Drosophila melanogaster: one gene and its partners. The protein of the gene in region 4 interacts with the protein of the main gene of each other region in a pairwise test. Each region holds a gene or a part of one and is shown on either strand. Other genes may lie near its edges.

What was found.
Region 1: the proteins of shv (region 4) and CG13066 interact in a two-hybrid assay, tested with the Drosophila melanogaster proteins (one large-scale study listed by BioGRID).
Region 2: the proteins of shv (region 4) and CG10494 interact in a two-hybrid assay, tested with the Drosophila melanogaster proteins (one large-scale study listed by BioGRID).
Region 3: the proteins of shv (region 4) and CG13047 interact in a two-hybrid assay, tested with the Drosophila melanogaster proteins (one large-scale study listed by BioGRID).

The regions. Positions count from the first base shown.
Region 1 is NT_037436.4:16,269,884-16,275,150, reverse strand, and holds CG13066 (uncharacterized protein), read right to left. Parts: upstream 2,243-5,267; 5' UTR 2,185-2,242; coding exon 2,173-2,184; intron 1,974-2,172; coding exon 1,704-1,973; 3' UTR 1,543-1,703; downstream 1-1,542. Other genes in the region: CG13067 (uncharacterized protein), read right to left, coding at 3,499-3,726, 3,800-3,811; CG34248 (uncharacterized protein), read left to right, coding at 4,353-4,649.
Region 2 is NT_033778.4:21,515,305-21,521,596, forward strand, and holds CG10494 (uncharacterized protein), read right to left. Parts: upstream 3,822-6,292; 5' UTR 3,702-3,821; coding exon 3,626-3,701; exon of another isoform or gene 3,622-3,625; intron 3,567-3,621; coding exon 3,153-3,566; intron 3,094-3,152; coding exon 2,677-3,093; intron 2,618-2,676; coding exon 1,953-2,617; 3' UTR 1,851-1,952; downstream 1-1,850. Other genes in the region: MESK2 (misexpression suppressor of KSR 2), read left to right, coding at 584-1,029; CG30288 (uncharacterized protein), read right to left, coding at 4,031-4,443, 4,511-4,677, 4,735-4,777, 4,840-5,065; CG30289 (uncharacterized protein), read right to left, coding at 5,307-5,815, 5,874-6,098.
Region 3 is NT_037436.4:16,283,097-16,288,352, forward strand, and holds CG13047 (uncharacterized protein), read right to left. Parts: upstream 2,301-5,256; 5' UTR 2,260-2,300; coding exon 2,248-2,259; intron 2,170-2,247; coding exon 1,669-2,169; 3' UTR 1,584-1,668; downstream 1-1,583. Other genes in the region: CG13048 (uncharacterized protein), read right to left, coding at 1-484, 544-561; CG13046 (uncharacterized protein), read right to left, coding at 4,619-5,152, 5,215-5,226.
Region 4 is NT_033779.5:450,860-456,598, reverse strand, and holds shv (shriveled), read right to left. Parts: upstream 3,492-5,739; 5' UTR 3,338-3,491; coding exon 2,329-3,337; intron 2,270-2,328; coding exon 2,214-2,269; 3' UTR 1,945-2,213; downstream 1-1,944. Other genes in the region: CG4133 (uncharacterized protein), read right to left, coding at 1-60, 131-310, 376-513, 772-798. UniProt on the Drosophila melanogaster protein: Maintains stem cell niche architecture in the testes.

The DNA of each region.
Region 1 (5,267 bases), on a different chromosome or scaffold from region 4:
TGTTGTAATCGCCTAAGCAGTCACCGAACAGCGGGGGGTAATTATAGCACATGGGCCTAGAAGTCCCCTTGTTGGCCAAGTTAATACGCGTACTGCTAATTGGAGGTAGGTTGGATATCATATTCAATTTGAAAAGAGCGTCCAGTATTAGCTAGATTACATAGAGATACGATACAGCTATACATTAAGAACTGAGTTGCATCCAAAAACCATATATATTTATACTTACTTATAAAGTTAGAAAACAAATATTTTGATATCCTCAATTCAGACACGGTATAGACTTACCTTAACTGAATACTACGACAAGAGAGCATTTGAAACTAATTTTATAAACACACTTACCTAAAGTACAACATTTAAGCATTAAATTAGACTATTTGACAATATTTAACTTATGTTAATTTAAGCTTACACACCCCACCCCCAAACTCTTTCATAGAGTACCCACTCCAGTAAAGCCTGGGAAACGGAACGTTTAAGTGCAACTTCTGGGGCTTCGGCAATTATAAATCGCCGCATGTTTCGCGAGGGGGCAGCTGATTAATGGGGCGTGACCATCGAGACAAAAGGCAGCGTTAAATTTTAATTTAATTTTCCGACTACAGCCACAAAACAAGTAAATTAGCTGCAAGAAGTGCAACTGCACGTGCAGAATGAGGCGTTTTTCAGCTTTTACAGGGCTATAAAAAGCGTTGAAAGCATCGAGGAGAATTGAGAATCAGCAACTCAAAGACTTGAATTAATTTGCAAAATGTTGTTTCTTAGTTAAATGTCGTTCGCTTGATTTGATTTTCATACTTTTCGACGGTTGCACGCGGCGTATGATTAATGCCAGAGTTGGCGTGGTGGGTTCGTTTGAGGCGTGGCTTCGTTCAACTTATCGATGGCGGGTGATTAGCAAAATGCAATTTAAGCGGCGCCCCTCAATGTAGTACCATATTCGCAGTGGCGATGGAAATGCATTGACCTCTAAGCCAACACACACGCAACTTGCAATCAAAGTGATAAACAATGTGCCGCGAGCTGGCCACATAGACCTCGAAGGGTCAGGGGGGTATCAGGGCTAAGGGGGTGCGAACTGCGTAAACAAAGCTCAAGGATTGCGTCCTGGAACGTGGCGAAGTGTCGATGAACCAAAGTGGGCGCACAAACAGGCCAGAGTTGGGCACACCCTTGGAGGGCACTCTGTCATATGGGAGCTGTCTAATGAAAATGGTGGCCTGATTTAACCTTAAACGAATTCATTCTTCTCATCATATAATAGTTTAAAGTGCTCTGGTGACCATTGCAAATGTTAAAAATTAAAGCTTGCAGCACTCGTTAATAATTCAAATGAAATCCCTTATCTTGAACTTATAATTCTATGTAATACCACAAACTAAAGCTATATATATATACTTCCCATCCAGGTATCTATTGCAATAAGACGGCGCTTCCCAAGAGCAACCTGCACTATCTGTTTCCTTTGAAGAAAAGTCCCGATGCCCACGGCAAGATTAAAATTAAACGGAAGGAATAAAACTCGATTCACTTCTCAGTCGGTCAGTGCGTGGGCCTGATGCATTGCGTTTTAATTTCTGTTTGCCTGCGAGCATGTATCTCCATCTCTGTTTGTATCTGTATCTTTCGCCGTGGCAGTGACGACGTCCGGTGGACACGTGCGGCAGCCTTGCGGAATCCCTTTGCCATCCTGGGACATCTTACTTCTTGAGGATGGTGGCCACAGGGGCGGCGGCATAAACGGCTGGCAGGGCGGCGCTGTGGGCCACACTGTGGGCACTGTAGCTACTGGCATAGGGGGCCACGTAGGGGGCGTAGGCAGGGGTGTAGGCGGCGGTGTAGGCGAGGGGTGCGGCAGCGGGCAGGGAGCTGTACGCCAGTGGAGTGGAGTAGGCCAGAGGGGCATTGTAGGCCAGCAGACCAGGATTGGCAGCAGCGGCGGCGAACAGGGCGCACAGGACAACGGCAAACTGCAGGATAAAATGCATACAAAAAGTACATTAAAATACACATTTACAAGAAGTTTTATAAATATAAAAAATTGTTTGAAAAATCTACACTGTTTGATAATAGTTTTATTTCGAACACACGCGTTTTTGTTTGTATTTAGGATTGTGAATTGTTGCATTTTTGAAACATTGTATCCTTAAAAAAATGTTGGAAACTTACGAATTTCATCATTTTAATTGATTTGGTTGTGTTAGCGTCGAAGTTAGACTTCTGATTGATGTCTTGTGCTGAGTTCGAAGTGGTTTATATAGGTAAATATACATAGCATCCTTGACAAAGCCCATTGAAAAAGCAAAAACCCAGCAAGTTTAAAGCATTTCCATCACGTACCAGGGCTAAAACAGGGCCAAACATTTGGTCTCTTTTTACTGGCACAATTATAATGTTGCAGATTTGTGTTTGTCGATATGCCTGCGAATAGTACGCATTCCTTGTGAATTTATTATTGAAAATGAATGTTTTTTCCCGCTCATCTTGAGCATTTCCGCAACTGGCGTCAGCAGCTGTCGTTTGCCGATTGAATTATCATAATTTAGCACTCAGTGCGTTTTGTGGGCTGTGAACGTGCGTGTCATTCCAACCGTCTTGGCCATCTCCGGAGTTCGGCTCACTCTGTACGTTTCAATTGTCAGCCACTCGAACACGCCACTTTGCATTCTAATCAGAGATGCAAGTAAAAATAGAAGCGGTTTATCCAGTTTCGAAGGACGTCATCGAGTTGAGCCCTTGGCTTAAGGTTGAGGACACCAGAAACAGGGAATCGAAAGCTTTGCATAAATGGAATCGCGAGTTCAATAAACCGGAGGTCTCGTTGACCCTATTAATCCAATGCAAACATGGACATTCCACCACGAAGAACACAACCTCCTTTACACTTCCTTTTTTTTTAACAAATAATAGGTTTTAAGTCCAAAAAATAATTTCCAATGTATCAAAGCAATTTATTGATACAAAGCTTAAAAAAGTCATTGATTCCTTCCAGCCCACCAAAATTAAAAAATGTAGGGGCTAGCAATTTATGAAACTAGTGTGAGAAATATTTACTGAAAATATGATATCACCTACTTTATAAATAATATTTCCATTGGATTTTAATGTATACCAAATTTAGTACTTAGTACCCATTGCAAAAGAGTACTGCCTAAAAGTATGTGATTATACATACTCCCTTCACATTAGAGATGAATAAGTGATGCAATAAATTATGAACAAGTGGTATACGTTTTACGCAAAATGCAGTATTTATTTCAACAAAAATATTCCCTTTCTTGAAGTGGTATGTCCTGTTCCCATGACTTAACTTTCAGCAGTCGGCAGAGGTGGGGAAATGTAGAGTCTGTCGAACTAACACCAGGGATGTAAGAAGATTGGATGTTGCAGGTGGTTAGCAGGAAGGTGTGTATCCTTGTTGCAATAGATGTGTATATGTTTATATTCAGGTCCAGTTCAGCAGTCAGGTTAAGATCACGATCCATTCATCCAGTCTTAACGGTAGTAGGCGGCATAGGGGTAGGCGGAGTAGGCGGACGCATAGGGGTACGTGTAGGCGGAGTAGGCGGCGGCCACTGGAGCGGTGTATGCCGCGGTGTAGGCAGCCGAGTAAGGAGCAGCTGCCACATAGGGAGCGGAGTAGGCGCTGTAGGCCAGAGGAGAAGCGAGCACCGCCGGCTTGGCAGAGACGCAGGCCACGATGGCGAACAGGCACAGAGCGAACTGAAAGGATAGGAAAAGTGCTTATGAGTAATCCGTTGTTTGGTGGCAAGTCCAGCTATCCTGCGATCCTTACGTATTTGAACATGTTGGCTGTTTGGGTTGGTTGTGAACTGTTGGTTCTCAAGTACTAGACTGATATCTCCTAGTGCCCGAGTACTCGGGTATATATAGCAGAATCGGTCGAGAAAATTCCATTCCAATTCCCCACATTGAAGCGAAGGTGATGCGTGGCCATTGGTATGCACATCCATTCCCAGATCGGTTCCAAGTCCATTTTGAAGCCAGCCAAGGAGAATCTTGAGCATTATGGCTTTGCACTTTTGGTTTCGTTTGGTATTTTTAAAAGCGTGACGAAAAGCGAAAAACAAATCGAATGTGAGTCCGTGTTTTGCATACTAAAACGTAGCTGGATATTGATCCATCCATCGGCAAGTCTGGAAATGACCCACAAAAACTGCCGGGTTGGGTTCAGAAATTTATAAAGCTGGGTTCTGTCGCTCCAGTCATGTTTATTTCGTTTTCAGAACGTTGAGCTATCAGATCTTATCAGCTCGGATTAGCTATGTACAGGAAATTAGTAAGTCTCAAGCGGTTATCCGCCGAGAAGTCGATGCACTTGCTCAAAGATGATGAGGCCTCGCCATCGGTGGCCATTTCAGGTGGTGCTCCTCCTTCTGATCCACCTGGCGGCCGCGGGTCAGATCCAGGATGCTGCCGAGGAGATCGATGTGCCGCCTGCCCATCGGGCTGCTCCACCACCGCCCCGCCAGGCAGCTGGAGCTGCTGTTCCCCCACCACCACTGGGGCCACCACCACTTGTGGGCTCTGCACCGCCGCCGAGCTATCCTTTGTTCTACCCAGCTGCGTGGCTGCCATTCGGACGCTACAGCAACTCCATTCCCGTCCACATAGTGGCTGCCTAGGGGAGCGTCCTCCCACTGGCCATAAGGTGGTCAAAGGACACTGTTGTCCCTCCTGTTGAATCCTTTCCCTGTTATGGTTGCTATTTTACTCGTTATTGCCCGCTTTAAGCCAGAAATATATTTTTAGACACGCACATGCATAATTATTTATTCGGGTTGACGCAACTTTCAGTCGGCAATTTTTAAATGGCCAACACGTGATTCTCCTACCAGAGATGCCGGTTACCTATACATTTCGAGAAATCTATCACTTTTGCCATCTGTGATTTGTCAATGGATGATGACGCAACTGAATTGGTATTTTTTCGGGCTACATTTCCGCATTTTAAGTGGGCAGAACAGACGCTGCCAGAACAAAAGGTTTAGAAAAGGTGACAGTAAAAAAATATTAATTATAAAAAACGTATATGTTTAGGTGACTTTCTTTTTAAATACTATCAAGAACTTTTGTTGCCGCCAAAAGATTGAGAAATAATAATTAATAGTAGAAAATCCATTAAAAAGTATTAATAATATATAACTATAGCTTTTTTGCTATTGAAAAACAGAACTTGGTGTTCCCATTTCCAGAATAATATTTTTAAGCTTTTAGTTTGATTTGTTTTATTGCCAGTCGGG
Region 2 (6,292 bases), on a different chromosome or scaffold from region 4:
CAGCAGCAGCAGATTGTCGCCGCTTTCATCTCGAATCATGCAAAATGCACACCATACACATTACATTCAGATACAGATACAGATACACTTGCAGCTGCGATTAAAATAAGGATAGAGGTAAATTATTTAGATTCATGTGTTGTAAGCTGTTTTTATAGCTTCAGCTAACTAAAGATAGTTTCAAGTGAACTTAGCCTTATTAAACAATATAAAGACTGAATTAAACGATGTAAATTGTAACCATAATCAATGATGAGATTATTGAATACTACATAGTTATCTTTACAATGGACATAAAGCCTTAACTTCCATTCGAATTTTAAGAGTTAAGAGAGTCAAGCAAATCTAAGAATTTTATTTATTTTAATCGCAGCCTTTTGCAAACGTACAGACATCACCACACGTACATACATTTCAAAAACAGCAGGCAAGCCTTTTAGAAAGTGTATAAAGAAAAACACCCATCAAGAACAAGAACCAACAACTTACATGTTATCAAGTGACATAACGTAAATAACAAAAGCCAAACTACTACTACCTTCCCCCCAAAACAACAACAACTCCACTTATAAAACTGCAACAGCAACGCCGCTGTCCACGCCAGCGAGTTCGCCCTGTGGAACTAAATACCACACCTACTCCTCCATCTTCTTTGCCAACTTCCGGGAGCAGCAGCAGCAGGCGATGGAGGAGCGCGATCGTGAGCGGGAAAGGGAGCGGGATCGCCAGCGGCAGCTGAGCCTTCGCGTTGGCAATCGCCTTCGGGAGACGGCCATCAATTGCACCAGCAGCAACTCCAACACCACCGCCGGCCAGGGGGACAATAATAATGCGGATGGTCGCAGCGTCGACGGGGACGACCAGGATCTGGAGAACGGAAACGGATGTGCCGGCGGCAACGGAACAGGAACCGGTAATGGCAACCGAGCCTACGTGACCACGGACACATCGGGCACGCTTTACTACGGCACCCAGAGCAACAAGATACGCATCACAGAGAACCCACTGCCCGAGCCGGTCAGCTCTTAGATTGTTACTGCAGAGTCCACATAATCTCCAAAAGACACCTTGTTATTGTTGTTACCACACACTGAGAAAAAATAATGCAGCAGCAGCAGCCAAGTCAAGCCAAGCTTTCAGCCGTGCTCCAAGAGACACAAAGCCACAGAAACTCAAAGAATAAAAAATATTATGAAATACAAGCAACTCACACACCGCTAGGAAATGAATGCGAATGCAATAATTAACCACCAAATGAGAACCCATTGATTGATTGATTGATTGATTGGTTGATTGATTGATTGTGTTTCCCTATGGTTTTCGAGATGCGGAGAGATATTTGTAATTTACACTTTGTGCCTGAGCGTAACGTAACGAACATACACGTATATATATCAAGCCAGATCGGTTCAGATCAGCAACAGCAGTTTAGTTTTCTATGCCCAATTGATTACATTGTTTTTTTTTTTGGAGTGCAACACATATTTTATGACGAGCTTGCTTAGTTGTTGTAAACCGAACAATATACAAAATATATACATATGTGTATACAGATGACACAAGCAGAACAAAAACTAAAAACTAACGAGCATTTTCGCTTAATGTTAAAACCTAAAACGAATCCAACTGTTAACTTAATCCCAAAAAATAACAATGTAGCATATCAAATAAAAAACGAAAAATCTCTCAAAATTACGTATATACTTATACAAAACCCTAGATAAATCGTAGACAATTGCGAATTGCGAGTAACTTCAAACCAACATTCTGTTCACAATGAATGAGGAATAAATTCTAGACACAGGACACTGTCACAAAAACAGGATACACACACACACACGATATTGAATATAGAATACATACATATAATATATATAAATAATGACAACTTTTTGCAATAACTTCGAATTCAATTCAATAAAAGTTTTAGAAGCTTGAGTTCTATGTTTCCATTACTTCGGTTGCAGCATTTCGCTGATCCTGCGCAGGGTCTCCTCTCGATCTCGATGCATCAGTTCCGATACTTGTTCCAAAAATTGATGCTGCTGCTCGCGTTGCTGCCGCAAGAAGCTTTCGTTGGTAGTTTTGATCTGCGCAAGCAGCTGCTTTTGACCTTCTATGATTGCAGTGAGTGCTTCAATCGGCGTTGGTTCAGCCTCCATCTCGATGGCGTCCACGTAGTCCTCGCTATCGGCTGCCGCTCTTAGGAGATCGCAGGTGGAGCTGGAGTTGTCGCTGTCACTTTCCAGCGGAACGCTTGGTTTGCCTGGCGGCTTGAGAAAGGAAGGCTTGCTGATGCGAATGAGCCTGCTGATGGCACTTTCTCTGTTCTCCCGCGGCGCCTGAATCAGTTCATCGAAAAGCTCAAAGTGGCGAGGCAGAATGCGTACATTATCTAGCCCGTGCTCCTTGGCCTCTCGATGACGCTTGCAGAGCAGCCTTAGTTTATTGCGCAGCTGGTGTGGCGTGCGTTTGATGTCCTGCTTAGCCAGGATGTTGGAAATGTGCACCAGGGTCTGGAAGTTGCGCTTCCTTGAGCCATCCAAGGCGCGAAAGAAACCATTGTCCCGAATGATGAGTAGAAACGAATCAACCTCTTCGTCTGTCCAAAAGTGCGCTAAGGAACATAGGAATTTAATTAAATATGGAATAGGAACTAGCTATTATAATATCTACCTCCGCTTCTCTGTGATGCATCACCCTCTTCCTCGTCACTGTCATTGAAATCACTATCGCTTGCGCTGCTCAGATGGGCTTCCGCTTCAGCATCTGCGGCCGCCTCCTCTTCGGTGGGATCCAGGACCAGTCGCATCGCCTCAAAATGCTCGAACGTTTTCCCCGTGCCGTTCTTGACCTTGTTGTACAATCGCCGCAGCTGCTGGAACTTGATGCGCAGCTTCTCAGCACCCTTGTGGCAGTTGCGTTTTGCCATCTCCTTGGACAGCAGCTTGAAGACCTTGGCATTGCGCTTTTGCAGCAAAGCTGCTCGCAGTCCAAGTGTGTGGATCAGGTCTAGGAGGAGGTCCACTTCGCCCTCTGCCCACTTGCAGCGGGCGACGATGTTAACTGAAGATCCTGAGGCATCCAAAGCATCTGCGAAGGAAAGTCGCCTAAGTTCGTATTCCAATACATTCCTGCCCGGTGGCACCTACCGTCCCCTTCGGTTTCTGAGATCATGCCGGACTGGTCCTCGTCGGCCTCCATATCGCTGTCACTCTCTAGCGCCTCTTCATCCAGATCAGATACATCTTCTCCCTGCATCAACTCGTGCACCGCCTCAAAGTGCTCGAATGGTTCGCCGCCATTCCGAGCTCTCGCATACTGACGCCGCATCTGATGGAACTTGACTCTCAGATGCTTTGGACTCTTGGGGCAGTTCCGCCGGGCCATTTCTCTGGACACCATACGAAACACCTTTGCATTGCTTCGCGGCCTTCGAAGAGCAGCTTGCAGTTTAAGTTGGTGAATGATTTCCAGAAAGGTCTCCACCTTTGCGCTGGTCCACTTGCAGCGACTCGCTTTCCCAGAACTATTTTCCGACACCGAGTGACTCGCATTTCCCAGATCTGTTACGAAAAGTAAGGATTTGGTAACATCGAACCGGCTGAGGACGCTGCTTACCCACTCATAAGGTGTGCGTATTTCTGCTCCGTTTCGTGCTCGTCCTCATCGTTGCCATTGAAGAGCGAGAACTTGCTCATTTTCAAATGGTTATGCTTAAATCGCGCAATGAAATCAATAAATATATATTTATATTTGATCGGTTTTTTTTTAGCTTGATCAAATCATAACAATAACAAAACTGTCATCGATAGTAGGACGCGTTAAGCTACCTATCGTTATCGGCATCGATGCGGCCGTACCATACATTCTGCTCGAATGTATGTTTCATGTAAGGAATATGTATGTTAAATGTAGAAATAGCCTACAATCTGAAAAAAAAAACCAAAACCAACAAGAAACTATGATATTGATAGCCAAAATATATACGCTAAAACATTATATTGTTATTAAGCAACATATTTTGATCTCATTCAAAGTCGTCTGAATGGTTTTGAATAACATCCAATATCCAGTCCGTAAAGTGTGTGACATTGGTGTAAATTCCCAAGCCACTGCACAACCGAAGTCCTTGGCTAGCGACACCGAACTGGAAGACCCTTCCCTGCCCCTCAAATGTACGAATTGCGCTCAAAGGACCTCCCGAATCGCCTTTGCACGAATCACTGATATAACTGCCGGCACATATATAGGATATATCGAGAGGTCTTCCAGGTCTTTCACAACTCCATTGAGGTAATTGTTGCAGGGTGGCAGTCTGTAGCCTATCTTGCTCTTCTCCATCACTATTTGTACCCCATCCGGTGAAATTGAAGCGTAATATTGAGAGTGGGTTCCCACCCAACGTTTTGCCCAGAATCAAGCAGATTGGTCTGACATAGTCTATGGCGAACTTTAGTTAGTTACATATTTAGTTCCCAAGAAACTTTTGATAGCGAAATGCACTTACTTGAGAATATCACACTCCTTTGCATTCGCAACAGACCAATATCATATCCTGGATTACTATGAACAATTTTCCTATCCACGTCCACATTGTAGGCCCTTGGTGTGCAGACAAAATCATCGCAGTCGAATATGGGATGTCGGGTATCGTATTCGCCCAGGCGCACATTCCTTAAAAAAGGTCATTTTGAGGATCAAATGTGTAGTAATAGTATGGTATGCACTCACATATACATTGGGGAAATGCAATGCTCGGCGGTCAAAACAAATCCTAAATGAACATACAATGATAATTTGAGTATATATTTCTTATTATCAATTCCAAATACTTACGAGCAGTTATAAGTGAACCGCCACACACTGCTTTTCCCGAAATCATTACTCTGACCATCCAGGGATTCGATTCCATGCCAGCATCTCTACCTCCATCGATTCGCGCTCTATAACCATTACTGCTCGTGGTTCCACAGTCGTTTTCCAGTAAGCGTCCGGATTCCGTCCGGATAATCCCAATAAAAAGACAGGCTACTATCACAAGCTGCCGTATAGGTAGACGCATCTTGTTCAGAGACTAAATTCGAATGGCATCGGTTTCTATTTTTATGCTTGTTCTTCGGCAAACGGCAGAGATAAGAAGTGATTTATTCAGAAAAAATACTAATACAATTTTTACAATCGATTTGAATGTGACATCGTTTATTTTCAATTAATGACAAGATTTTTTTTTTTTAATTAAATCTCTTGAACTTTAATATATTTCGAACTTCGATGCGTTGCCCTGCCATTTTGTCGAATATTAATTAATTTTCATATACAATTCTGTTATACATTAGTTCTATATTCCTTATTATGTCTGTTATGTTACAAGTTTGGCCTACGAGCTTGGATAACCAAAAGGTAGTATGACCTGTAGGTTTGAATTGAACCATTTTATTAAATATCCATTCCCTGTGGTACGATACATTGGTGTAAACACCTGCCACATTAGCCGCGCACCTTTCGGATCCGTAGCTGACCAAGCCGTACTGGAAACTCAGAAGCCTGTTGCCATAATGAAATTTCGAGCTCAATGGGCCTCCAGAATCGCCCTTACAGGTGTTACTGGTATGACTGCCAGCACATATCTGCGATCGATCAGCCTGTTTGTTGAACTTAATGTTACAGTATGATATATCCATGTTATATAGAGTGGCATTCAGTAGGATCCGACTGAATTGACCATATTCTGTTTCACCCCAGCCGGTAACCGTAAACATTGGAATGCTTTGCATTTGCTCGCCGACAAGAAGGCAAATTGGCCTAACATAATCTATAACGAAAAACATAAAGCTTTAGTCATCCACGTGAGATAAAACCCCTCTATTTACCTGAGTACTCCACAGCTTCGGACATACGAAGCAATGCTATATCATTCTGGAGAGTGATGCCATTATAATTTTCGTGAACAATTTTCATATCCACACTAATGTTGTAGAACTTTGGTATACAGTGATTGTTAAGGCAGTATGGCATGGGATCTAGTGTTTCGTAATCACCCAAGCGCACATACAGATCTTCAAAGGATACGCAGTGCGCTGCTGTCAGGACGAATTCTTAAAAGAAAAATAAATAAATAATAAAAAAATAATAAAATAGTCGACTATCTCGATTATTTATTCATATGCTTTTCAGTTTTTGGGTACATGTAAGTTAAGATATATATATCGTGGACTATGAACTATATTATAAATCTAAATAAATATAAATATATTAATATATTAGTATAGAGTAAATAAAGAATAACCAA
Region 3 (5,256 bases), on a different chromosome or scaffold from region 4:
TCTTCGGTCCGGGAATGGCACGGTAGGTGGGTGCAAAGGGCACCGCCTCCAGGACGGGCGGCAGCACTTGATGGGTGACACTGGGCACATGGAACTCGGGCAAAAGAGGAGTAGGAGCTGGCAGAAAAGCTGGAGCTGGTAGAAGTGGTGCAGGTGCTGGTAGAAGTGGTGCAGGAGCGGGCAGAAGAGGAGCAGGAGCCGGTAAAAATGGTGCAAGAGCAGGTAAGAGAGGCGCTGGAGCAAATACAGGTTGTGGTGGAGCAAATGCTGGTGGTGGAGCCACCGCAGGAAGCAAAGGAGCTGGCGGAGGAAGGACCGATTCCTGCACCGCGTAATCCAAGTGGTGCGGCAGAGCATGCAGAGAATCCAAGTGGCTCAGATGATGTCCGTCAAAGTGGTTGACATGGTGGGGATCGAAGTGATTGTAGTGAAGATGAGAGGGCTTTGCCTCACCACCCACCAGCAGGAAAGCCAATGCAAAGGCCTAAAAATATTTAGGTTACCTATTAATATCTTTGGTCAAAAGAACTTTGCAGTCCTTACCCATGTCAGTTGCCACATCTTGCTTGGGGGATTTGAAGTTCGGTTTCTTTGGGGCAGTAGCTTCTCGATCGATGTGCTCGACCTGTTGGTTCGGCTGCTAATGTCTTTGCATTGTCAAATTAAATTAATATTTATAGCGAATTGAAGGCGGTACGCAATCAAAAGACTTGCACTTGCATTTCTTCACTTTCGACGACGACTTGGCCCACTCACCTAACTTAATGGGTTGCATCATTTGGAGGGAGGCAACCCAATCCCATTTAGTTGGTCAGCAAGTCGTGACTGAGACGGCGACTGCGAATGGCACTGCCTTCGATCGAGGGGCCAATAACTTCTTGGGCGATTCGAAAGCACGGCCCATGATTATATAACATGGGGCCAACCAAGCCCAGGCATTGACAGTTGCCCATGAGTGGAATATGATTATGATAATCCATAAATATTGCTTTGACCATAAATAACAATCGATATTGCGCCTTAGGTGACAACGCAATCACAACAAATATTGTTTACATGGTGACCAAGTTGTCTGACTTTAACTTCCCTAAGTCCCTAACTTATGTATGTTGCTACTTTGTCAATATTATCTTTAAAATTCAATGCAGCTGTTAGAAAAAATTCCATTAAAAATTAAATGCAGACCTATAATTTATGCATAATTTGTATTAAATGATATCCACCAATAAACAAGCTTATTTTGCATATCAAAGAAATGAGTGAGAAACGAGAAATTCAGAGCATTAAATGGAAAGTTCTAAAGTTTCTAAAAAAAAATTAAATAACTTCCTCTATCTGAAATCTGGAAATATATGGATGCTTAATAAAACCACTTGCACAAAAGGAATCATCTAATCAAAAATTGATCATAGTTAAGTAAAGAAGTTATTTTATATTTTCTTAAGAAATATATATATATTGACCCAATCGAAATGAGCGTCCAATTGAATTTTCATGAACCAAAAATATCCGATAAATAATAGTACTTTCGTTTTTCGTTAATTATTCAAGGCATTTCTGCAAATAATAAGATGGTGCGCTCTAATTGTTGGTTCGTAATTTATTATCAGTTTTTTTTTTTGTTTATCAAAAATTTCCTATAGTTTGGCCTGCTTCACAGGTGTGTCCTTAGACCACCACTGGAGCTGGAGCAGCAGCGGCGATGGGAGCAGCATAGGATGCAGCGTAGGGAGCGGCGTAGGGAGATGCCAGGTAGGGTGCAGCGTAGGGCGAGGCATAGGGATAGGCGGAGTAGGCAGCGGCGGCATAGGGAGCAGCGGCCAGAGGAGCAGCAACGGGAGCAGCGGCCAGAGGAGCAGCGACGGGAGCAGCCAGAGGAGCAGAGTAGGCGGCGGCCAGAGGAGCAGCAGCGTACTTGGCCACCACGGCGGGGGCAGCTGGGATTCCGGACACATAGCGGCTGGAGTAGGGGCCGGCGAACTCGAACGGAGCGGTGGTGTAGGAGGACAGGGTGCCGTCGTAGTTGTTGCGGACATCCACCTGGCTGCTGCCACCTGCGGCGTACAGAGGAGCATTAGCGTAGGCCAGGGGAGCAGCCAGAGGAGCAGCCAGTGGAGCTACAACTCCTGGTTTGGCCGCAGAGCAGGCGATGAGGGCAGCGAGAACCAACTGGAAAATAGGATAGGTAATCATTAACCACCTCTTAGTCCACATTGTTTGGGCGCTAATCCCCATAGGATCACTTACAAACTTGTACATATTGCTGTGGTTGGGTTTGTCTAAAGCACTTGAGCGATAATGTTCATTTGGAGCCAGACCAGTGGCTTATATAGCTCGTGCCCATATCCGTGCTCTTTGGGGGACATTCTGTCTGAGCCGATTTTTGGTCGCTTCTTCATTAGCTGGCCCACCTGGTCGAGTGCCAAGTAGCATACATGATCGCCATTTGGCCAAGACGTGCTCCGCCTTCAATTGCCCAATGGACTGTCGGAAGTTGTCCAAGTTGTCGCTTGAATATTTCGGTTGCACTTGGAAAAATATTTGAGCTTTGGTAAATATTATAAGAAAAGATATGATATAATTCTGATTTCAATGTATAAATATTTTATTTAAAATTTTTAACCTTAACTATTTAGTGCAGTGTATTTACATGCAGAGGTAAACTTTTTGTATAGCATACCAAGTTATAGTCTTTATAAAAATTTTTCCAAGTGCAGTGATCGACATTTGTATGCAATTGAAGACTGACTCGGTGGCCGGGCTGTCTTGTCGTAATTTGCAGTCTGTTTGGGCCATCAATGTGCGCCGCTTCGCATTGAATTGGCCGCAATCTAAGTCAAATTGGCCATAAAAATGGTACCCCTTCCTCAAAGGCCACGATTCCGGCCCACTAAGTGTCTCATTAGTTCACTTTTTAATGGCTTGCAGAGACGCCAATAAAAGGCGGTCGTAAATTTCCCTCTCATCCTAGCCGACGGGTCTTCATTTGTTTTCGTGTTGACCTGACCTTGACGCCACCTGGCCACAGGATGTGATGCACCCTCATCCTCATCCAGTGGGTCTCATCAATTCGCTTCAGCTTAATTGGCCAACAAGGCGCGGGGCCGAATGATCGAGCAGTCGAAACCTGCTTGCTAGCTGACTTAATGAGCCATCTCTCTCGGTCTCTCTCGGTCACGTGCTGGCCTGGTCAGCAGCATCGTCGTCATCTGATGGCTTGGTGTCTGCGATTTGCATTGTTTTACTCTTTATGATCGGGTACTTTTGCTACTTATGAATGTTTGTAAATTAGCATATTTTAGTGTCAATGACTTGGTAGAACAACCCATTAGGAGCATGATTTCAAAGAGCGAGTTTATGAAAAATCGAAGTTTTTCTGTAGTACAGTCACAAAATATTATACTCATACCGCTTACTAACAAATCGTATAGAGTATCTAAATGGTCGTTATTTTATAGCTGCTTCTGAAATCCGATACGATGATGACGCCGGTCTCAAGGTTGTCGCGATGACGAGTCGAGAGGGCGATATATATATATGTATATAAATGATATCTGGTGATCAAGTTGCCCCACGCATGTAACTGTATACTTTTCCATATATTCTGTATTCTGTATCCGCATTGTGGCCACTTTTGATCGGATTGATCCAATCTTGGCAGCAACCACAGCTAGTACATTCCAACTCCAAGGGTGACCTCTTCTCGTTCACTTGTTCACAATTTCTGGACAGGAATTCTCAACCGATGACGCGCCAATTTTCCGGTGACTCAAGCACGGAAATGAGTACATCTTTAACCATCTTCATCTTCATCTTCATAGACCATCGCCATCAACTTCTTGTCTTCAGCACTCCACTTCACAGCTGTGCGATCCGCTCACTTCCTAGTTAACCTTTTAAATTTATTTGCAATCTGATTTAGAGGCTCATCAGAAGCTTTATCCCTCTTAGGAATTGTTTGGCTGTCGTCAGTACCGTTTGCTTTAATTGATTTTTAAGCCCCAAATTTATGCAGACCATATTTCTAATTCCCGTTTTTGTTTTCGCGGGAAGCAGGTTCTATACGGCAGGCATAAATATGTCTAGATATATAGATAGATCCAGATCCCAGTTCCCAGTTCCGTTCCCAGATCTGATCAATGACACTTGACTTTAATTGGCTTTCATAAATATACGTCAAAAGTTAGTCGTTGTCTCGATTTCTTTTGTTTTCACAAGAGAATTCCGAATGCCAATGCCAAGTTTGAGGTCTCATTATGAGGCGCGGATGGAGATGGAGATCTCTTGGCCCGATTTGTGTGTATGTAAATAGCAACCATTAACCCATCGTAGGAGAGTGAAAGGTGTAAATCCAATGGACGAAGACCTCTTTTTTTTTTGTGTGTGCCCGCGTATTAACCTTCAAAACATTATGCAAATGCAGTCTCCATCGATGGCAATGAGACTAAAAATGGCCAATAAAAAGAGACTCAACCGAAAGGCTAAGCTTAGATGGCAAGTTTATTATCAATGTGTATTCACTAAGAGCAGAAGTCATCGCAGTTTGATGATCAGTCGGGATGGCTCTGGCTCTATTAAATGTATTGCTATTGCTATTCTATGGGCTAGGATTGCTGGACTAGCGCCTCTGGATCTGCGGTGTTCCATAGGAGGTTAGCCCCGTGGTTCTGGGCACACTGGCATATGGTGCCCCAGCCTGCAGCGGAAGTTGCGCCACATTCAGTGGAGCAATGCCAAAGGGCACTGGCAGCTTGAGATTCAGCGAGTTGGCATCCACGGAAGCGGAGGATATGGAACGACCTGTGGCCGATCCCGCAGCAGATGATACTCTGGCCACCTGCTGGGGCTGTGGTGCCGGGGGAGCCACCTGGAGGGCAGACGACGGTGCTCCAAATACGTAACCCTGGCTGGTCAGAGCCTGGGTGAAGGCGGCATGCTCCAAGGCGGGCTCGGCAAACTGTCGTGCCACTTGGGGATACTGCTGGTTCTGTTGGTACTGGTTCCTCTGGCTCCGCTGCACGGCTGGCCTGTTGGGAGCGGGATAGTGATAGTAACCCAGCTGGGTGCTGGGTGCTATCGAGTAATCCAGGTGTGAGACATCGGCCAGAGCCAAGCTCATGAGTTGCAGCAGAGTAATCCATACACAAGTCAACTGAAAGTGATTTGATAGGGTTAAACCTTGATAGCTCTTCACACACTAGATATTGCTCTCACATTGGGCGCCATTTCACTTCACTTTTCTTTGGGTTCCAGTTC
Region 4 (5,739 bases):
TTCAAATACCTCACACCGCATAATGTCGCAGAAGTCGGCCAGGCAAACGGCATCCTCCGCCTGAAGAATTCAAGTGGAATTGGAGATATCAGTACACTAGAACTAAACCTCTCTCTAAATAGTTTTTTACCTCATTGATGATGCTCTTGTGGCGTGTGTCGAAATGTAAGTCCAGATGCTTCTCCTGGTAGAAGCTCTTGCCACATTTCCTGCACGTCCACTGAGTAGGTCGATCCCTCTGCTTGGCATCCTGGCGGGGGGCAAAGACATCCCGGAACGGATGGAGCGGGCACTCCAGCGGCAGCTTCACCTTTAAGTTGATTTGTCTCGGTAAGGCAGGTTTGAATCGAGGGAACTCCGATGTAGTGGACTTACCTGATGCTTGTCCAGAATGGGAGTCCATTTGGAGCGCACTATTTTGCGCACCAGTCGGCTGTTATCTCGCGAGCAGAGGATTCTGATCACATTCGTGGGTGGCCATGGTATTAGCAGCAGAAAGTAGACCAGTGCAATCTGAAAGTGTTTTAATTGGGTCTCTAGATTTGGCATGAAACCAGAACATACAACGTAGCCCAGCACGCAACTTTGCCGGCTGACCTAAAACCACCCTCCCTTTCTTTTTTGGGTCACTTAAAGTTGAAGGGAGACCCTCGCAGAAAATCGATAGCGAAAAAACTGAATGAAAGGGGTGGGCAGTTGCGTCTTCGCGGAACACGAAATCCGTGGGACGGGAACTGAAAAGACTGCTCGGAGGAGTTGCTCGCGACTCACCTCGAAATTATGATATTTAGGCGACATTCATACTATGTATTTATGGTCGTTGTGCTGTTGGTGTCTTGTTTTTTCGGTCTAGAAATCCTTTTTCTAGTTCTCCTTTTCCAACTCAACTTCACTTTCCAATGCGAGGTATGAAGTAAAGGATGGTAGGCAATAATATCTTTTAGCCTTGCCAATGACTGGTTTTTTCGGTTGTGGGTTCTGCTTTCTGATAAAATAAATAATAAAGCTGGATCGAGCTTGTCCACGTCCGCACTGGTACAAATTTCTTCGCTCTCTAATGTGAATTCGCTACTTCCTGTAACGCTCTCCCGATTGTTCGCTCTCGGTTTTACTCCCGTTAGAACGTTGTCCTGCGCCAGTTATCGACAGCTGAGCCAAGGTTGCAATAATGCAGCCTATCGATTGTCTTAATATAATAGTTTTCAAATTAAATTATTTCTGAGACAATCAAAAAATCCCTTTTAAAAACAGTAAATCAAAAATAGTAGCTTCCGCAAAGTTGTATATAATTTAAATCCGCTTTATTTTGTGGGGGTTGGTTTTTGTTGCAATTCCTTTTTGTCGGCAGGAACCGCCTTAATAGTTCCCTCTCATTACACTTTTGCTATTTTACAAAATTCTAAACTAAAATTAAATTGTTTTCGCACAACTTTTTTGAACAAAGTCATCTCTTGAATTAGGGGCGTTCCCAAATCAAAGTCGCCCTGTTAGTTAGGCATTTAAAAACTAGAGTACAGCCGGCGAGCACTTTTATTGGGGATGAAACATGGGTATTCACAGTCCATTGTATATGCGATTGATGGAGGATTGGTCGAGTATTTTCTTGAGCGCTAGAATTAGAAACGTTTATTAATGAAACAATTACTCTTGTGATAATGTATATGCTAACCTTCCTTGTCCTCCTCCGTAAGATCCTTCTTGGGGAACTCCACATCGAAGGTGATGTACAGGTTGCCGGTGAGGTTGTTGTTCTCAAAGTTGGGCATGCCCTCGCCCTTCTTGCGGATTCCTGCGCCAGTTATCGACAGCTGAGCCAAGGTTGCAATAATGCAGCCTATCGATTGTCTTAATATAATAGTTTTCAAATTAAATTATTTCTGAGACAATCAAAAAATCCCTTTTAAAAACAGTAAATCAAAAATAGTAGCTTCCGCAAAGTTGTATATAATTTAAATCCGCTTTATTTTGTGGGGGTTGGTTTTTGTTGCAATTCCTTTTTGTCGGCAGGAACCGCCTTAATAGTTCCCTCTCATTACACTTTTGCTATTTTACAAAATTCTAAACTAAAATTAAATTGTTTTCGCACAACTTTTTTGAACAAAGTCATCTCTTGAATTAGGGGCGTTCCCAAATCAAAGTCGCCCTGTTAGTTAGGCATTTAAAAACTAGAGTACAGCCGGCGAGCACTTTTATTGGGGATGAAACATGGGTATTCACAGTCCATTGTATATGCGATTGATGGAGGATTGGTCGAGTATTTTCTTGAGCGCTAGAATTAGAAACGTTTATTAATGAAACAATTACTCTTGTGATAATGTATATGCTAACCTTCCTTGTCCTCCTCCGTAAGATCCTTCTTGGGGAACTCCACATCGAAGGTGATGTACAGGTTGCCGGTGAGGTTGTTGTTCTCAAAGTTGGGCATGCCCTCGCCCTTCTTGCGGATTCTAGCGCCGGGCCACGTTACCTTCTCTCTCGTGACGGGCACCAGGTGTCCATCAAGGTGCTTGATCTCCATGGAGAAGCCGACAAGGGCATCCTGCAGACTGATGGTCACGTTCGTGTACAGATCATCATTCTTGCGCAGGAATCGCGGATGCGGCATTTGTTGAACCCGCACAATGAGGTCGCCGGGCTCCCCATCGATATGTGGCTCCCCCTCGGCCACGAACCTCGTCTCTTGGCCGTCGACCATGCCCTGTTCCACCTCGATCTCCAATGTGCGCTCCTCGTTGACTAGCTTCACGTTGGGACACTCGTCGCACACCGTCTGTTGGATCATCTGGAAGCGCCCGGGTCCAAGGTTCCGGGTGACCATCTCCTGGCGGCAGTTGCATTTCCTGGTGCCTGAGGCGGGTTTCGTTACAGGCTTGTTCCTCACAATTTCCACAAAGTTTCCGGAGTATAGCTCCTCCAGGGAAACGTACAAGTCCATTACGATATCGGCGCCTCGCGGAGCATCTTGCTGCTGGCCATCACCACCGAAGTGAAAGCCGAAGTCCCCAAAGAAGCTAGAGAACGGATCACCACCGTGATCCATCATGCCCTCCTTCTTGAGGCATTCCTCGCCGCAGCGGTCGTAGGTCTTCCGTTTGTCCGGATTGGAGAGGACTTCGTAGGCCGCTCCCAGGTCCTGGAACTTTGTGGAGGCATCCGGGTCGTCCTTGTTCTTATCCGGATGCAGCTCCTTGGCCAAACGGCGATACGCCTTCTTCACTTCGTTCGTGTTGGCGTTTTTCTTTACGTTCAGTATTTTGTAGAAGTCCCGGCCGGCAAATGACTCCTCCACCAGCAAGAGGGACAGCTGAATTATAACCAAGCACTTGATAAGCTGCATTTCGTTTTTGATCCTGTTTGATTCAGCAATTCATTCTTTTTAACCAGCTGATTCGAAATACGATTTTAAATGCTGGCAAAAGTGTAAAAAAATTGTAGTTGTCGCCGCTGGCAGCTTTGTTTGTGTGTGTGAGTCGTGGTCTGCGCTGATTGGTTGGCACTGTCGTTAGGGTTGTCACCACTTCTCTAACAGAACAGCTGTTTCGCATTACAGTCAATCCAAAAACTGTGGCAACGTTGCTTACAGTGCTGTTACAGCGCATATAAACGCTTCTGGTCACACTCGCCCAGCGAAGATAAAGAAATAAATTGTTTAATCCAATTTAGCCCAGCAAACTGCAAGTTTGCAGTTTATCTTTCTCTGCTTGCCCTCTTCGGCAACGCGAAAGTGCCTTTTTTTTAGTTGGATAGCAGCTTTCAGATCAATTCCAAAGGCGCTTCCCACGCTTGAGTTTAGCTGTAAAAGTAATAAGAAGGGAAGTCTGACAATTTGAATCCCTTTCGTACGGTACTTTTGCGATTCCAGGCACCAAAGGTAAAGGGACTAAGCGATCATCGAAGCGGGAAGTCCCAGAAAAATAAATTTACTCCGAACTATGGCATAATAAATGTCAAGGCCAAAGCAAAACAATAACAGAGCCATCAGAAGCTAATGCTAAAAGACGTAGTTGTGTGTGAGATAAAAGGTGAGTAATTCATCACTTTAATTATGCAGCCGGTAATGTGCAATAATACGTGAATATAACTGTACGCCTAATTCGCAACTGGTGATGTCAACACTTTAAGCGCAAGTTGATCGAGGTTTAAGTTCAACCAGAAAGCAAACATTTCACGGGATGCAAGCTATCGCCCTCAAAAGAGAGACAACATGCAGTAAACATATATAGTGCATACACAATGCAGTTTACAACAAACTATTTTAAAAACCATTTAATATTAATCAATTATTATTAATATTAATTCGCCTTAAACAGTTAACATGAATTCTCGAGTTATCCTACTGGGACTCGTACAAGCTCAAAAGGCTCTACTGTAGTTCCAGACCCCCTTTTTTGCCTGTTATCAGTCGTTAAACAAAGAAATATTCATTGTAGTATAGAGCCAGCCCAATAATCCGACAAAAACAAGACTGAGTCAGTCGACGGGAGGAAACAAAGCAGGGAATCGAAATTGCAATACGATATGCACCAGACTTACGATAAAAACAGGCCCCGTTCCTATTGCATTAAAAGAACTTTGGATTACAGGACGGATCAAGGCTGATATGGTATAGTAAAGCATATTTCGACCGAATTATCAGTATCTCCACAAAGCTAATCTTATCAGTGCCATAAATAGGAACCCCTTGTGAGAACATCTTGACCAACCAACCACAGAAGCAAATAGCCGAGAAATGCGGGTATTACCCAGATAACGATACTAAACACTATCTTAGACTTGAATGAATTTGAATTGCAGACAAGCATGGACATAAATAACATCTAGGCATGAAATTACCATAATTATAAATGTTTATAATATTAAAAGGAATTTTAACTATTGTAAATCAATCTGCCATAAAACCTACTCACTCGATCAGAATAACCACCCGAGTCGATCTAGCCATCCGCCTTCGCATGAACGCTTTGATCTCGCGAACTATAAATGTTAGAAAGATAAGATTTTCATTTCTATCGCTATGCTACAAATATTTGCAACATACCCACTCTGAATACCAAAATATTAAAATTTTGTGGCAGCCAGCTACCTGAGTTACGAGTAACTGAAAGTCGAGGAATTCGAGTAGAGTGATCTCTTTTTTGTGTTTCTCCAAACGCATCCAAGTTAATGCCAATCAAGCAAATATTCCCGACTAGCAAAGTCCAGAGATTAATAAACGAACCGAGTGGTAATTGAACGTCAAGTGAACCCATTAAAAGACACACAGTAGACCGCTGGCCACCAGTTTCGCCCTGCCAGGGGACGCGTACGGTTTTGATAGTTCCGATTGTGCTAAGGCCGGAATATTTTCGATCCCCTTTGATTGAAAACTAGTAAGTTTAGGCGACCTAAACAGTGGCAAGTGCTAGAAAACTGAATAGATCTGCGGATGTCTGCACTTGAAGTTGACTGTGCGGATAAGTGGGCTGTCCCACGTAATCTTCTCCAACTGTCATGGACTGCAAAATATATTCAAAAATATACACTTATAATCGCCGATGCTTATCGAATACTTAAGCAGGGACCAGCCGGCGATAAGCCTTGGTCTTATTATTTTCAAAATTACCAACTCTGCAGGGTGCCAGGATGGGTGTACCGGGAAATAAACTAATAAAAATTCGATACGGATTATGGACATTGATTATACAAGGAAAAATAACCCCACAAACTGTCTTCACTTCCAGATGCAACTAACTGCCTAGG